3 separate regions of the Mus musculus genome follow, and all the other regions are reported to be linked to region 1. Evidence: microRNA targets listed by miRTarBase, many of them from high-throughput screens and not tested one by one. Region 1 holds a microRNA gene; each other region holds the end of a gene's coding sequence.
What was found. The annotated mature microRNA mmu-miR-297c-5p reads AUGUAUGUGUGCAUGUACAUGU and lies in region 1 at 2,594-2,615, shown strand. An mRNA with a match to its seed (bases 2 to 7 or 8) in the 3' UTR can be bound and repressed. Matches are read on the target gene's strand: a 7mer-m8 pairs with bases 2 to 8, a 7mer-A1 pairs with bases 2 to 7 and ends in A, and an 8mer does both.

Region 2: the mRNA of Zc3h12a is a reported target of mmu-miR-297c-5p. Seed matches in the 3' UTR shown: 8mer at 1,430-1,437.
Region 3: the mRNA of Tbc1d24 is a reported target of mmu-miR-297c-5p. Seed matches in the 3' UTR shown: 7mer-m8 at 952-958, 7mer-m8 at 948-954, 7mer-m8 at 944-950, 7mer-m8 at 940-946, 7mer-m8 at 936-942, 7mer-m8 at 932-938 and 6 more.

What each region holds. Positions count from the first base shown.
Region 1 is chr2:10,506,433-10,511,508 of GRCm38, forward strand. Mir297c (microRNA 297c) reads left to right here and starts at 2,584; the gene lies at 2,584-2,681. All of the region lies in intron 10 of Sfmbt2 (Scm-like with four mbt domains 2), which reads left to right. It overlaps Mir467d (microRNA 467d), which reads left to right and starts at 1,198; the gene lies at 1,198-1,282. It overlaps Mir466 (microRNA 466), which reads left to right and starts at 1,486; the gene lies at 1,486-1,558. It also overlaps Mir669c and Mir669a-2.
Region 2 is chr4:125,114,828-125,119,903 of GRCm38, reverse strand. Zc3h12a (zinc finger CCCH type containing 12A) reads left to right here. Exons shown (of 6, transcript NM_153159.2): 6 at 1-1,490. The coding sequence ends at 625. Among named protein-coding and RNA genes, the nearest start is that of Zc3h12a, 11 kb to the left of the region's middle.
Region 3 is chr17:24,176,718-24,181,793 of GRCm38, forward strand. Tbc1d24 (TBC1 domain family, member 24) reads right to left here. Exons shown (of 8, transcript NM_173186.4): 7 at 5,039-5,076; 8 at 1-4,678. The coding sequence ends at 4,524. Among named protein-coding and RNA genes, the nearest start is that of Atp6v0c, 9.8 kb to the left of the region's middle.

The DNA.
Region 1 (5,076 bases):
CCTCAGTACTGAATAGGGAGAGGTCTCACTCAGCAGGTGAAATCCCTTGCCAGAGTCAGGTGGATCAGGAGTTCAAATTTGTGCTGAATTTCATGATGAGTTGGAAATCAGCACGGGATTCATGTGATGCCCACCAAGAATGTGCATGTGTGTATAGTTGTGTGCATATTCATTTCTCTATATGAATATGCATATGCACACATGCACACACATTCATAGGAATGGCCAGAGTTATTTCTTAGGTAGGAGGTGAATAATCTTGCTAGAGTCAGGAGAATATGGTGTTCAAGTTTATGTTTAACTTCATGATGCATTAGAGATCAGCATGTGTTTCATTGATGCACACCAAAATGTGCATGTGTGTGTAGTTGTGTGCATATTCACTTCTCTATGTGAATATGCATATACACACATGCAGACACAGGAATGGCACTCATATATCCTTTGGAATGGTATGTGACTCAGAGCTTTAGAGCTTATGCAGTGCTGGGCCAGAGCTATGTCTCAGTTAGGAGGTGGATGCTCTTGCCAGCGTCAGGAGGTCCCAGAGTTCAAATTCATGTTTAACTTCCTGATGAGTTACAGATCAGCCTGTTATTCATGTGATTGTTTCTGTGTATGTGTATAGATAAGTTTGTCTGTACATGCGGATATATGAAAAGACATATATTGACACATATTCACACATGCATGCATACAGAAACACATGGCAGTCATCCATAAGTTTTATATGTGCTTAGAATTTCATAGAGTGTATATTTATGGTACAGTGAAATATCTCGCCAACTAGATGAAAACCGCTTGCCAGAATCAGAAGTCTTGGAGTTCAGAATCATGCTTAACTTAATGATCAGTTAGTGATCATCCTGGATTCGTGTGATGGACCCTAGGTATGTACATGCACACATAATTTTGTGTGCATGTACATGTGTGTATATGATTATACATAACACACACACACACACACACACGTATAAAAGCAAGCACACACACACCAAGGTATGGCATTCATCGATCCATTTGAATGATATATGTCTTAGAATGTTACTGATTATGCAGTAGAAGGACAGTGAATGGTCTCACTCACAAGGTGTAAACAATTGGCATTGTCAGGAGGATCAGGAGTTCAATTTCATGCTTAACTTCATGAGCAGTTAGAGATCATCCTGGAATAATGTGATGGCCCCTATGTATGTGCCTGTGTGCATAAGTGCGCGCATGTATATGCGTGTATATTTTATGCATATACATACACACACCTACACACACATGCACACAGACATGCGGGAATGGCCCTCACGGATCCATTTGAATGATATGTGACCTACTGCTTTGGAGGTTATGTATGACTGGGCCAGGGTGAGGTCTCACAAACCACGGGAAAACCCTTGGTAGAGTCGGGAAGATCAGGAGTGCAAGTTCATGGTAAAGGCATGATGAGTTAGAGGTCATCCTGGCATTCATGTGATTGCCCCTATGTATGTGTATATGTGTTTATGTGTGTGTACATGTACATATGTGAATATGATATCCATATACATACACGCACACATAAGACACATATGAGCACACAGGCACACAGGAATGGCACTCACTCATTGATCTATGTGACTGTGAGCTTTGGAGATTATGTGTGACTAGGTCAGGGAGAGTTATCACCCATCATGTTAAAAATGCTTGTTAGAATCAGGAGGTCAGGAGTTCAAATTCATGCTTTATTTCATGATGACTTAGAGATCTGCCTGGGAATCATGTGATGTCCCCATGTATGTGTATATGTGTGTAACTGTGTGTGGATTGTGTATATGAATATACATACCTACACACACATAGACCCATCCACAGACACAGACACACACACGCATGCCACTCCTCAGTCCATTTGAATGATATGTGACTTAGAGTTTTAGAGATTCTGCAGTACTCAATAGGGAGAGGTCTCACACCACAGAGTCAGGTGGATCAAGAGTTCAAATTCATGTTTAACTTCATGATGAGTTAGAGATCAGCATGCTATTCATGTGATGACCATAAAGAATGTGCATGTGTGTATAGCTTTGTGCACATACACTTCTCTATATGAATATGCATATACACGCATGCACACACACTCACTCACAGGAATGGCCAGAGCTATGTCTCAGTTAACTTACCAGGTAAAACGCTTGCCTTTTGGATCAGCAGTTCAAATTCCTGAATAACTTCAAAATGACCTAGGGATCAGCCTGGCCTCATGGCATCCTCCCCCCATATATGTGCATGTGTGTATAGTTTTGTGTATATGTACATGTGTGTATACAAATATACATCTACATACAGACAAACATAAACACACAGGCACGCACACACACACACACACACACGCGCACACACACAGAGGAATGTCACTCATTGATCCTTTTGAATGACAGGTGACTCAGAGCTTTAGAGATTATGCAGGGCTGGGCCAGTGAGTGCTCTCACTCACAAGGTGAAAATGCTTGCTTGCCAGACTTTGGATGACCAGGAATCAAAATTCATGCTGAACTTCATGATGAGTTCGTGATCAGCTTCGGAGTCTTGTGATGACCCTAGTATATATGCCTGTGTGTATATGTATGTGTGCATGTACATGTGTGTATATGAATATACATATACATACACACATACCCATACAAACATGCATACAAACACACAAAAATTGGCACTCATCCATCTATTTGAATAATTAGTGACTTAGAGTCTTAGAGATTCTGTATGACTGGGGCTGACAGAGAGAGGTCTCAGTCACCAGGAGAAGACTTGCTAGATTCAGGGTGATCAGGAGTGCACATTCATGTTAACGGCATGATGAGTTAGAGATCAGCCTGGCATTCATGTGATGCCTCCATGTATGTGCATGTGTGTATAGTTGTGTGTGGATGTGTGTATTTGCATATAAATAACATACACACACACACACAAGTAAACACAAGTGCACAAACAGACACAGGAATGCCATTCATCGATCCATTGGAATGATAAGTGATTTAGAGTTTTAGAGATTTTGAAGTAGAGACGGTGAATTGTCTCACTCACCAGTTGTAAACGATTGAAAGAGTCAAGAGGATCTGGAGTTCCAATTCACTCCTATGTTCAGCTAGATAGCATCCTGGTATTCATGTGATATCGCCCATGTGTGTGCATGTGAGTATAGTTGTGTGTGCATGTCTGTATTTGAATATACATAACATACACACACTAATGCAAGTACACACACACACACACACACACACACACACTCACACCAATGCCACTCATCAATCCATTGGAATGATGTGTCACTTAGAGTATTAGAGATTATGCAGTACTTGGCCAGTGAGTGCTCTCAGTCTCTAGGTGAAAATGCTTGCTAGAGTTAAGAGTATTCAGGAGTTAAAACACATACTGACCTTCATGAGGATTTAGAGATCAGCCTGTGATTCATGTGATGGCCCCATGATTGTGCATGTGTATATAGTTGTGTGTGCATGTTCATGCATGTATTTGCATATACATAACATACACGTATAAACGCAAGCACACACACATAGAGACACAAGAATGGCTTTCATCGATCCCTTTGAATGATATGTCACTTAGCATATTAGAGATTATGCAGTACTTGGCCAGTGAGTGCTCTTATTCTCTAGGTGAAAATGCTTGCTAGAGTTAAGAGTATCAGGAGTTTAAATTCATGCTTATCCTCATGAGAGATCAGCCTGAGATTCCTCCATGTATGTGCATGTGTGTATAGTTGTGTGTGCATGTTCATGTCTATATTTGAATATACATAACATACACACACACGTATAAACGCAAGCACACACACAGACACAGGAATGGCATTCATTGACCCATTTAAATGATATGCCACTCAGAGTAGTAGAGATTATTCAGTATGGGGCAAGTGAGTGCTCTCATTCTCTAGGTGAAAATGCTTACTATAGTTAGGAGTATCAGAAGTTCAAATTTATGCTTATCTTCAGCATGATTTAGAGATAAGCCTGTGATTCATGTGATGCCTTAAGTGTACATGCAGGTTTGTATAGTTGTGTGTGTATGTTCATGTGTCTATATGGATATACATAACATATACATAGACATATAAACCCTAGCGTGCACACACACACACACACACACACACACACACACACACACACACACACGAATAACATTCATAGATCCATTTATATGATATGCCACCTAGAATATTAGAAATTATTCAGTACTGGGCCAGTGAGTGCTGTCATTTTCTAGGTAAAAATGCTTGCTAGAATCAGGAGTATCAGGAGTTCAAATTCATGCTTATCTTCAGGAGGATATAGATATCTGCCTGTGATTCATGTGATTGCCACCCATGTATGTGCATGGGTGTATAGTTTTGTGTACATGTGCATGTGTGTATATGAATAGACATAACATGCACATACATATAAACACAAGCACACACACACACAGAGACACAGGAATGACACTCATCGATCCATCTGAATGATAGGTGACTTAGAGTTTTAGAGATTATGCAGTAGTGGGACAGTGAATGGTCTCAATCACCAGGTGTAAACCACAGAGTCAGGAGGATCAGGAGTTCAAATCCATGCTTAATTTCAGTTGGAGATCATCCTGGTATTTCTGTGATGCTACCCATGTATGTGCATGTGTGCTTACTTGTATGTGCATGTGCATGTGTTGATATGAATATACATAACATAAACACACGTGTATATGCAGGCACACACACACAGAAGAAATTGCATTCGTCGTTACGTTTGAATGATATATGACTTAGAGCTTTAAGAGTATGTATTACTGGGCCAATGAAACGTCTTACTTACCAGTAAAAATGTTTGTTATATTCAGATGGATCAGGGGTCCAAATTCATGAGTAATTTCAAAATGACATAGAGATCAGCCTGACTTCACGGGGTTCCCCCCAATGTATGTTTATGTGTGTATAGTTTATGTGCATGTGCATGTGTGCATATGCATATACATATACATCCATACAAACATATAGAAGTAGCACAGATACACAGACACACACACACACACCCATCAATCATTTTGAATGACAGG
Region 2 (5,076 bases), not on the chromosome of region 1:
CCACCGAGAAGGCTCACCGCAGACCTGTGCTCCAGCTGGCAGGAGCCTCCCTGTTAGTGGGGGCAGCTTTGGGCCCACAGAGTGGCTTGCACACACCCAGGACTCACTCCCATACACCTCCCAGGAGTGCCTTGATTCAGGCATTGGTTCCCTGGAGAGCCAGATGTCAGAATTATGGGGCGTGCGAGGAGGCAGCCCTGGGGAGTCGGGCCCCACTCGGGGCCCCTATGCAGGTTATCACAGCTATGGATCCAAGGTCCCAGCAGCACCTTCCTTTTCTCCTTTTAGACCAGCCATGGGTGCTGGCCACTTCAGTGTCCCCACCGACTATGTGCCCCCGCCACCCACCTACCCATCCAGAGAGTACTGGTCTGAGCCGTACCCATTACCCCCACCCACTCCTGTCCTTCAGGAGCCCCAGAGACCCAGCCCCGGGGCTGGTGGGGGCCCCTGGGGCAGGGTGGGTGACCTGGCCAAAGAAAGGGCTGGTGTATATACCAAGCTGTGTGGTGTCTTCCCCCCACACCTGGTAGAAGCTGTAATGAGACGCTTCCCACAGCTGCTGGATCCGCAGCAGCTGGCCGCAGAGATCCTGTCTTACAAGTCCCAGCACCTCAGTGAGTAAGCCAGAAGGTGGCGCAAGGGGCTGTCGGGCATCACAGATAGCGGTCCCCAGCCCCTGCCTGGCCTACCCTGGAAGCTGGACAGAAGGACAAGTGAAGCAGGCAAGGGAATCCTCAAACCAAAGATACCATAGGATTGGTTCTGGCCCCGCGGCACCCCAACCCGTCCCGCACAGGTCAGAAGTGATCACCCTGTTGATACACATTGTATCTCTGTCATTTAAGGAGACGCTGCCGGTCAGGCCGTCCATCCGTGGCTGATGCCCAAACCCTCTTTTTTTTTTCTCAGAGGGCCGGGTGGGAGGCATGGGGGAGCAGAGGCCTGAGCTGGACCCCACCTTCCACCCTGTCCCTGGGACGCCGGCACCACCGGCTAGTTAGGCACCATGTGCCTGCTCTCTGAGGCCCCCTCAAGCCAATGCGGCCTCATCCCTGTTCACAGGGCATGAGGCTTCATGTTAGTAAGCAAGATGCTTCTTTAAGCCCCTCCCCTGCCCGCTCTGTCCACCTACACACCCCCCCCCCAACCAGGGCTCCAAGGCCCTCTGTTTCCACACCTCCCATGGGTGGGAGGACACATGTATGCTGTGTACAGAGGCGAGATTTAAATATTTTAAATGAAAAAGGTTGACAAAATAAAGGCTATTGCCAGGCAGGCTGGAGAGATGGCTCAGTGGTTAAGAGCACCGACTGCTCTTCTGAAGGTCCTGAGTTCAAATGTCAGCAACCACATGGTGGCTCACAAACATCTGTGATGAGATCTGGTGCCCTCTTCTGGGGTGTCTGAAGACAGCTACAGTGTACTTACATACAATAATAAATCTTTTAAAAAAGAGAGAAATTTAAAAGAAAAAAAAAGCTATTGCCAGTCGTTTTGAGAGGAAGTTGTCCTTACTGTGCCTGGTGGGTAGAGCTGCTCTGGGGTGACAGGAGGCCAGTAGGGCAGATGTCACTCCCTGTCCTCAGAAAGGAGGGTTCCCAGAAGCAGTTGGTCCCTTGGAGCTGAACCTTAATAGGAGGCAAGGTAGCAGGTGACAGCTGCAGGAAGAAGTGTAACGGCACAGAGCCCTGTGGCTTCAGCTGGGTAGAGGGGTGCCGGGGCGGGCGACAGCAGGGATGAAGCTGTTCCTCTTTTCTCTGATGACAAGAATTGAGGGTAGGAAACAGGGAAACGATTTGATCAGGGCCACAGAGGGCGGTGTGATCCAAGTAGGTGAGGGAGCCCTTGGGTGCTTGCACACAGGCTCCTCCTTCCAGATCTGCTGTGTGTCCAAGGAACCAGGGTTGCAGAGCTGGAGGAAGGGCTGGGGTAGTAGCAGCAGCTTGGAGACGCCCTGCCACTGACTCTACCAGCTGGAGCAAGGGACTATCCTTCCCAGACCTCAGTTTCCTCATCTATGAAATGGGAATCCTAATGGCAGCTACCTTACAGGTTTGTCATGAGGGTTCAGTGAGATAATACATGCTAGGTATGTGACCTGCCTCCTGCCGCACAGGCACTGCTCATTAGAAGGCTTCCATAACTGACTCCTGTGGGCAGGCACACAGACTGACCCCATCCACCACGTCAAACTGCTCATCAGCCCTAGACAAGCCCAGGCAAGATAACACCTTCCTCCCTCCTCCCAGCTCCAACTTCAAAGATGAACATGAATATTTTAAATGAAAGGCTAGGCTATCACACAATTCCTAAGCAAATATTACCAGCCAAGGAAAAGGGTGGGGGGAGGCGGAATTACAGCTTTAATAATCCTACCTTTGAACAATTCCTCTGATATTTGTACTTAGTAGTCGGTGTACCTTAGTGCATATTTCTGTTTTAAAAACTACTTCCGTACAGAACAGCTGTGAAGCTCTGGAAGAAAATGTCACTGTGGGAATCCTCCCCACGAGCTCCGCCCAACTTTTCCCTGACCACCCTTCCAGAAGTGCCTGCTTAGGACAAACATCAGGATCCGTTGGCATGCAGGAGCTGGAAGCTTCCCTCCCACAGGAATTAAAGGTGTCTATGCCATGCGTGTTCCTCCCGGCCTCCTCGGGAGCTGTTAGCAGCATAAGGAGAGACGGCAATGCCTTATTTATTCTTACAAAGGAACTACATTGTCCAGGGCTCTGGGAAGGCAGCCAACCATGCACTGAGTTCAATACTCAGCACCTGGTGTTGGAGCGTACACCTGCCATCCCAGCATCCCGGAAGAAGATGCAGGAGGGCCACAAGTTCAAGGCCGTCTTTGGTTACAAAGCAAGTTCCAGGCCAACTTGGCCTGCATGAGACTCTGGTCTCAAACACACGAAATAAAACACACGGACACACAAGGGCGCCAATGTATTCTCAGGTTAAACGGCCGTCTGTGGGCATCTGTTTGTCTTTATGGGATAGGAAGCTAAAATACCGGACAGTCGGGTTCATTATCAGTTGCTTGGCAATGCTGAATGACTTGCCCAAGGTCCCACGGAGGAAGGCAGGCTGGGGCAGGGCTTTCAGTACCCTTCCTGATCCCAAAACCTGACACCAGACTGTTGTGACTCAAGCCTCTGCAGAAATGGGAAGTGAGCTGCTCCTCCCACTGAAGCAAGTAGAATGCTCGCCCACTCGGCTGCTCAGTACGGCCCTGTCTGTACCATACTGTGGAGCTTTGGGGGCCATGAGATTCAGGGGCCGCTCACAAGGGGAAGTGAGAAGAACTCTTCCACTGTCCTGGCTTTCTTAGCCGGAGTTTGAAGTCATCTGTGACTGTCCTATGGGGGTGAGAAATGGGCTGACTCCACAGGCAGGCAGCAGCATGAGTGCCAGCTGGCTATGGCTAATGTTAGAAGGCAGGGCCTGGCCCTGCTGGTCCACTGAAACCAGTGAGGGCTACAGATTCAAACAATAGGTGCCAGCTAGGACCGGGCTCTGGGCTCAGGCCTTCTGATGCCTGTCTTGGTGCCCATGCTTCCTGACAGCTTGGCTCAGCTGGACTAGCCAACCACGTGGCCATGCCTCCAGGCCTCTTTCTCAATCTTGCTTCCAGGCAGGGCTACCCAAGCAGCCTGGCTCAAAGCCAAGGCTGTTTCTTCTCTGTGACTTGCTTCAGCATTAACTCCAAAGTTCTCACCACCTCTTGTCCCCTGGCCACTGAGGCCACTCAGACAGGTAGCACTGGATCACACGGGACCTTGGCCTTCCACCTGTGAAATGGGCACAAAGACACACCACCTCTCCAGACATTACAAAAGAAGACCTTAACTAGCAGCATCTAGAGGCAGTGAGGCCCCAGTTCACGCCCCACTCACTAGCAGGCAGCCCTGGCTACTCACTGCCCTTCTCTCAGGGCTTCAGCTGCCTGACCCACAGTGATCCACGTGGGAGCTTAACGGGGAGGGCGGCAGGGACAAAATGTAACTCCCAAGACCAAAGCTCGAGCCACCAGGCTTGCTGCAAGGGATCAAATTCCAAGCAGCCGCCCCAGCTGCTCCTTATGCCAGCTCTTCCTGGTTACTTGAGCCAAGCTGGGTGATGGGGAAACTGGTGTGTATGCAAATTCTCTGTTGGGAAATGATCTCTGGGAGCTGAGCTGGGCCTTCCCACCCTCCCCTCCCACTTGTACCAGCAGGTAGTGAACTCTAGGTGCTTCAGCAAGTTCTGCTCCACAAGACTAACACCTTGAGAGGGGGTGGGGGGGAACCCAGCCTGCTCAGAAGTCAAAACGACTGGTCTGCCTTTGCATGTAGCCTGAGACAGGAAAGCTTTGTATGCCCTGCCAGACTGAGCCAGCCCGTAACGGTGTGTGTGTGAAGGACCCCTGCTCTGGGTCACTCTCCACTCTGTCTCTGGGAAGACCTGGCAGTCCCTGAAGATGCTGGTACCACAAAGGACAAAATAGCCACCGTGCAAAGCCCACTTGGAGCTGCTAATGCCCTAAACTGCTGGTGTCTTTCAGTGATTAGAGTAGCCAGCTGCGGGGGCAAGGCCAGTGCCCATTTCTGCAGCTCCATTTCCTACTTCCCTTTTTTCCTACCACCAAGGTCCTCTGCCCACCTTCCCCAGGGACAGTACACACAGGTTAACCCATCTCAAGGAGGAGTGGGGTAAGGTGAGCGGACAGAACTGGGAAGAGGGTCACTGGCTAAGCTCTGCCAGAAGGAAGCCCAAGGACCCCAGAGCCTTTGTCCTAGGCTTCGATCTTCTATCACAGGCCCAAAGCAGACTGGATGGCAAGAACCTGTCCTGTGGACCTCCTAGTTCATGGGAAGGGTGTGGGAGACTTGGCTGAAAGAGGCAGGAAGTGGGGCCCTGTAATTAGGGAAGCCCGTGCCATCCTAGGCCATGGCATGTAAATCCCTCCAGTCAGTTCCTGGAGGGGGAGGAGGCCCAGTCTGTAACCGAGGGTGTGCCTTCTGAAGCTGTTTTCAAGGCAGCAGCAGCTGGTGACCCTAAACTGCTTACCCGTTTAAGGAACAGCATGAAGAC
Region 3 (5,076 bases), not on the chromosome of region 1:
TGGTTGGTTCCTGACATGTCACAGATTAGCCTATCCATGTGTCCACTGGCTGCTTCCTTAGTCCTACATACAGTATTCACAATTTCCATGCAGATCAATAAATGACCAAGCCTTCAAACAAGTATCATTTGTCTGTAACAACGTAGCCATGAGACACTGCATCTAACACCTACAGCACAATCAAAGATTGATGTAACAAGGGAAGTCATAAAAGACTCCATTTATTTGTCTGTTTGTTTGTTTATTGAGACAGGTCTCTTGTAGCCATAGCTAGCTTGAACTTGTTCTGTTGCTAAAGATGATTTGACATTTCTGCCTCTACCGTCCATGTGCTGGGATTATAGACACACACCAGGCCCAGATACGAATCTTAATACCAAAATTATCCTTTACACTTCATATGCTTTCCAGCCTGATGGAAATACTGTGGGGAAAGAAGTGTAAAGCCTGTTTGGCACTCATGCTTGACATAACAACTTTGTCACACAGACCTGAATAGAGCTATGGAGGAGCTAGCCCTCTCTGAGGTAGTTGCTACAGAACTTCAACCTCAATAGTGACTTAAAAACAAAACAACTAGTACAATCTGTAACTTTCTAGATTTAGTGAAGATATGAGAGAGCAGGTCTCTGTAAAACTGCATGTATTCCTGTACAGTCAGGGGCACTGCACCACAATAATGTCTGTTTTATCTTTCCCTTCATTTTTATTTTATGTTTATGAGTGTTTTGACTGTGTCTGTGTTCTACATTGGCACAGTGCCTACAGAAGCCAAGAAAGGGCTTAGATCCCTAGGAACTGAGTTATAGATAGTTGTAAGCCATCATATAGATACTGAAAACTGAACTTGGGTACCCTGGAAGGCCCAGTGCTCTAATTACTGAGCCTTCTCTTTATCCCCAGCCCATGTATGTATGTATGTATGTATGTATGTATGTATGTATGTATGTATGTATGTGTATATACACATATACATATATATTTTTAAGACAAGGTCTTATTATGTAGCCCTGGCTGGTCTGGAACCTGTTACATAGAACAGGATGGCCTCAAACTCTCTGAGATCCCCCTACCTCTACCTTCTGAATAATGGGATTAAGAGTCTGCCACTAGGCCAATTGTTTTTTGATGTTTATAGTAGACAAGTGGATGAGAGTCTATAAATTCCATCTCAGCAATTCTGATGTAAACTGAAAATCAGTTCAATATATAAATGTAGGGCTGAGGGCATGGCTCAGTGGTAGAGAACTTGCCTAGAATGTATAAGGTCTTAGGTTCAATCCTCAGCATCTCAAAGGGAGGGGGCACAAAACCTAAATTGTCAAATATAAAATATTTAAAGAGATCAGAAAACCTCTACGAACTCAGAAAATGGGTAAAGGACATTTAAAGATCTGAAATCCAGAATGCTCTAAAACAAACTGCACTGAAAAACTGGAAAATAAAAGCAGACAGCTTATAAAAAATAGGAAAAATTAAATAGTAATTTTAGTTTAATAATAGAGAAATTAGGATGGACGGTGGTGGCACATACCTTTAATCCCAGCACTCAGGAGGCAGATGCATCTGTGAGTCAGAGGCCAGCCTAGTCTATAGATTCTGTTCCAGGATAGCCAGAGCTACACAGAGAAACCCTGTCTTGAAAACCAAAAACCAATATATATATATATGTATATGTATATATGTATATATATCATATGTATACATATATGCATACATATATATATACATATCATATGTATACATATATGCATACATATATATATATTCTTAAAATGCCAACACCTAGTGTTGTATCATAAATTACTTTAAAAATGAGCTGATTATCACCAGGCATGGTGGCACACACACACACCTGTAATGCAAATATGTAGAGGATGAAAGCAGGAAGATGAATCCAAGGGCAGCTTCAGCTACACAGTTAGTTCAAGGCTAGCCTGAGCTGCATGAAACTGACACTCTTGTCACAAACTAAACCAAAGCAAATCATAAACTGAGCTTCTGAGGCTCCGACGGCATATGCTATATATTAACAAACTTGGTTAGTTTAACGAATGGGCTTAAATTGGATTAAGTATTTGTTTTAAAAACAAATGTTTGAATGCTGCTAAAATATAACTTCTTATACAATGCCATCACATTTTGGCTTGGTTTTTTTTTAACATCAAAAGCTAATAAATAATAGAAAACATTAATAAAATAAATACTAAGTGAGAACACTTAGTAGTATCAGATAAGAACAGTGATAAGAATAAAAATATAAAGAAAACAATACACACCTTTTGGTAGAAAAGTCAGAAAAAAAAAGGACATTAAATTTAAAGAGCTGGGTATGTTGTGGGAGAAAAGCTAAGAACTTTGCTTGTGATGTGATCATGACTCAGCATCCATCAGTCTCCTTGGGCTAGACCCCTGGGACTGCCAGTGGGGGCCACACAGAACACAAGGTCCACCACCAGTCTGGAACCCTGCAGAGCCCCGCACATACTCCCAATTAACGTCATTGCTTCTGAAGGCTTCTGAGTCTCAGTGGTAATGCATGGGTGAGCGGCAAGAGCTCAGCCTGGGAACGTCCTGGGGGCCTTCTGGCAGGAGCCCGACTCAGAACGGAGGCAGTCAAACTCAAAGCGCTCAGCTGGGCCTAACACCTAGAAGCCCAGCAATGAGGAGGCTGAGGGAGATCATGATTTTTGAGTCTAACCTAGGCTACATAGCAATTTCCAGGCTAGCCTGGGCTACATAGGGAGTTCCAGGCCAGTTAGGTTAACTAGTAAGATCTTGCCAGAAACAAAAATCAAGATGGTGTTAAATGAACACCAGAGTTGGAGGTCTAGGCCTCGGCAGTGGGCTCAGGGGAAGTGGGCATTGAGGCTTATAACCTTCTGTAGAGGTGAGCAACAGTGGTTCCTCTTCACTCTATAGAGTCACGCGAACCCATCCTGGAAGCCAGCATGGTGGGGGAACTTGTCCACTGTGCAGAATCCAGAGTTCTAGATGCATGAGGCTCCTTTCTGCCCTGCCTCTTCTGCCACTGTGGCCGTGCAGAGAGCTGGTGTGAATTGGTGGAACAGGGAAGGATGGACCTTCCCCAGCGAAAGTGAATCTCAGCGTGGAGACAAGCACTGGCCTGACACATGCTGACTCTCAAGCACGCCAGACAGTCATGTGGAAGCTAGGCGCCTGTCCTTATGATCCCGACTTCCATGGCCCCAGCAGAGCCATTTGGGCCACTGCTTCTTCTCTCTTCCTCTGTGGCGCCTAGACCCTCAGGACCAGCTGAGGGAGGTCACGGGGAAGAGGAGCTTGCGAGAGTCCTCAGAAGCAGCACCTCCCTTGGCATCCTATGTGCACAGGCTGGCATCCTATGTGCACAGGCTGGCATCCTATGTGCACAGGCTGGCATCCTATGTGCACAGGCTGGCATCCTATGTGCACAGGCTGGCATCCTATGTGTACAGGCTGGCATCCTATGTGCACAGGCTGGCATCCTATGTGCACAGGCTGGCATCCTATGTGCACAGGCTGGCACAGGGCTCAGGAAGCACAGACATCCAGAGACCTGAAGGCCTTAATAGGGGCAGGGGTAGCACACAGAAGATACAGTACGTGGTCGGCCACAGTGCCAGCTGAGGGATCAGGTCACACAGGTGAATCAGATGCTGTGTGAACGGGTCCAGGGGAGCACAGGGCCTGGGGAGAAGGCAAAAAGCTGGATGGGGACAAGCATGCCATGCTTGGTGGGCCTCAGTCACTGTGACAGAGGAACCAAGTACAAGAGTCACCAAGACTACAGAACTTCAAGGAGGCCACAGGGATGAGAGGCAAAGGCCTCAGAGTCTAGTCAGCTCTGAGAAGAACTCTGGAAATGGAGCTGACTGGCCAAGGTGGTCAAAGAAAGTCTCTCCGGAGGCCACCTTCAGGTGTGGACTCGCAGCGAGGCGCAGCAAGAGCTTCAGGCTCTGCAGAAACACAAAGACAAAAGACAGTTCTCCAGCCCTCATTCCATCTCTAGACTAGGGGGAGCTGCAGAACTCACAGACCCTGCCCTTCCCAATCCTACCCTACACTACAGCAGCAAATGTACCCCTCTGAGGGGAACCTCAGAGGAGCTGCAGGGTCAAAGCACCAGCAGGGGGGCACCATGGGCCCACATTTGGCAAGAAGATTCATTTGCCCTTTTCTTATAAGGGGCTGAGGCTCAGGGGCATGGAAATGTAGCCTTGGCAATTGTGGGTACAGGACACCTGGCAGAGCCAGGGCCCTGGGTGAGGGCAGAGGGTGTCTCTTACAGAGATGCTAGACAGGGCTGAGGGTTCAAGAGCTCAGAAGCAGGAGGGCTCAGGAATCCTAACCTAAGTCCAAGCCAGGGCCAGGCCTGGCGTGAGAGACTAACAGCCCCACTGCACAGCAAACCTTTCCACTTTCTGGGGGTGACGTCTCACTCACTCCCTGCTCCCTGAAGAGGCAGCCGGGCCTCTGTCCCATCACCCCACAATGTGGCTGTCACCATCAGTGCGGGCCCGTCATTCGGTGTCAGGGTCTTGGAAGCCCCAAGCCTCCACAGCTGCGATGAGGAAGTTCTCAGAGCAGAGGGGCTGGTTGTTGAATGTGTCACAGTGTCCAGTGCGCCCTCGATTCAGGTCCCCATCAACGTAGAGTGCTTGACCACCTCCTCCCCCTGTGGGATGTGCAGGGGAACAGATGTCTTTCTGCTCCAACAACCACCCTTCCCTAGATACCCCATCGTTTTTGTCCTTGAAGGGTCTGCTAAATAGTAATCGCAGGAGAGAGATCCCTCGAACTACAGAGGTTCCTCTAGAAGCACACATTTATCTAGGTCTGACTCCCTACCTAACGCTTGCTTGCTAGCCCTTAGTTTCTATCTCTACCCCAAACAACCCAGGTCCTTTTCCTTTGCTTAACTGAGATGTCTACTACTGGTAGTCAACAAGGACTGGGCACAGAGGCTTCAGCTACCCACAAGTCCCCTCCGAGTACAGGCAGGACCCAGTCTGGGGTGAAGGGAACAGGTGCCCACCAATGATGAGGCAGTCATTGCCTCCAGCCATGAACATG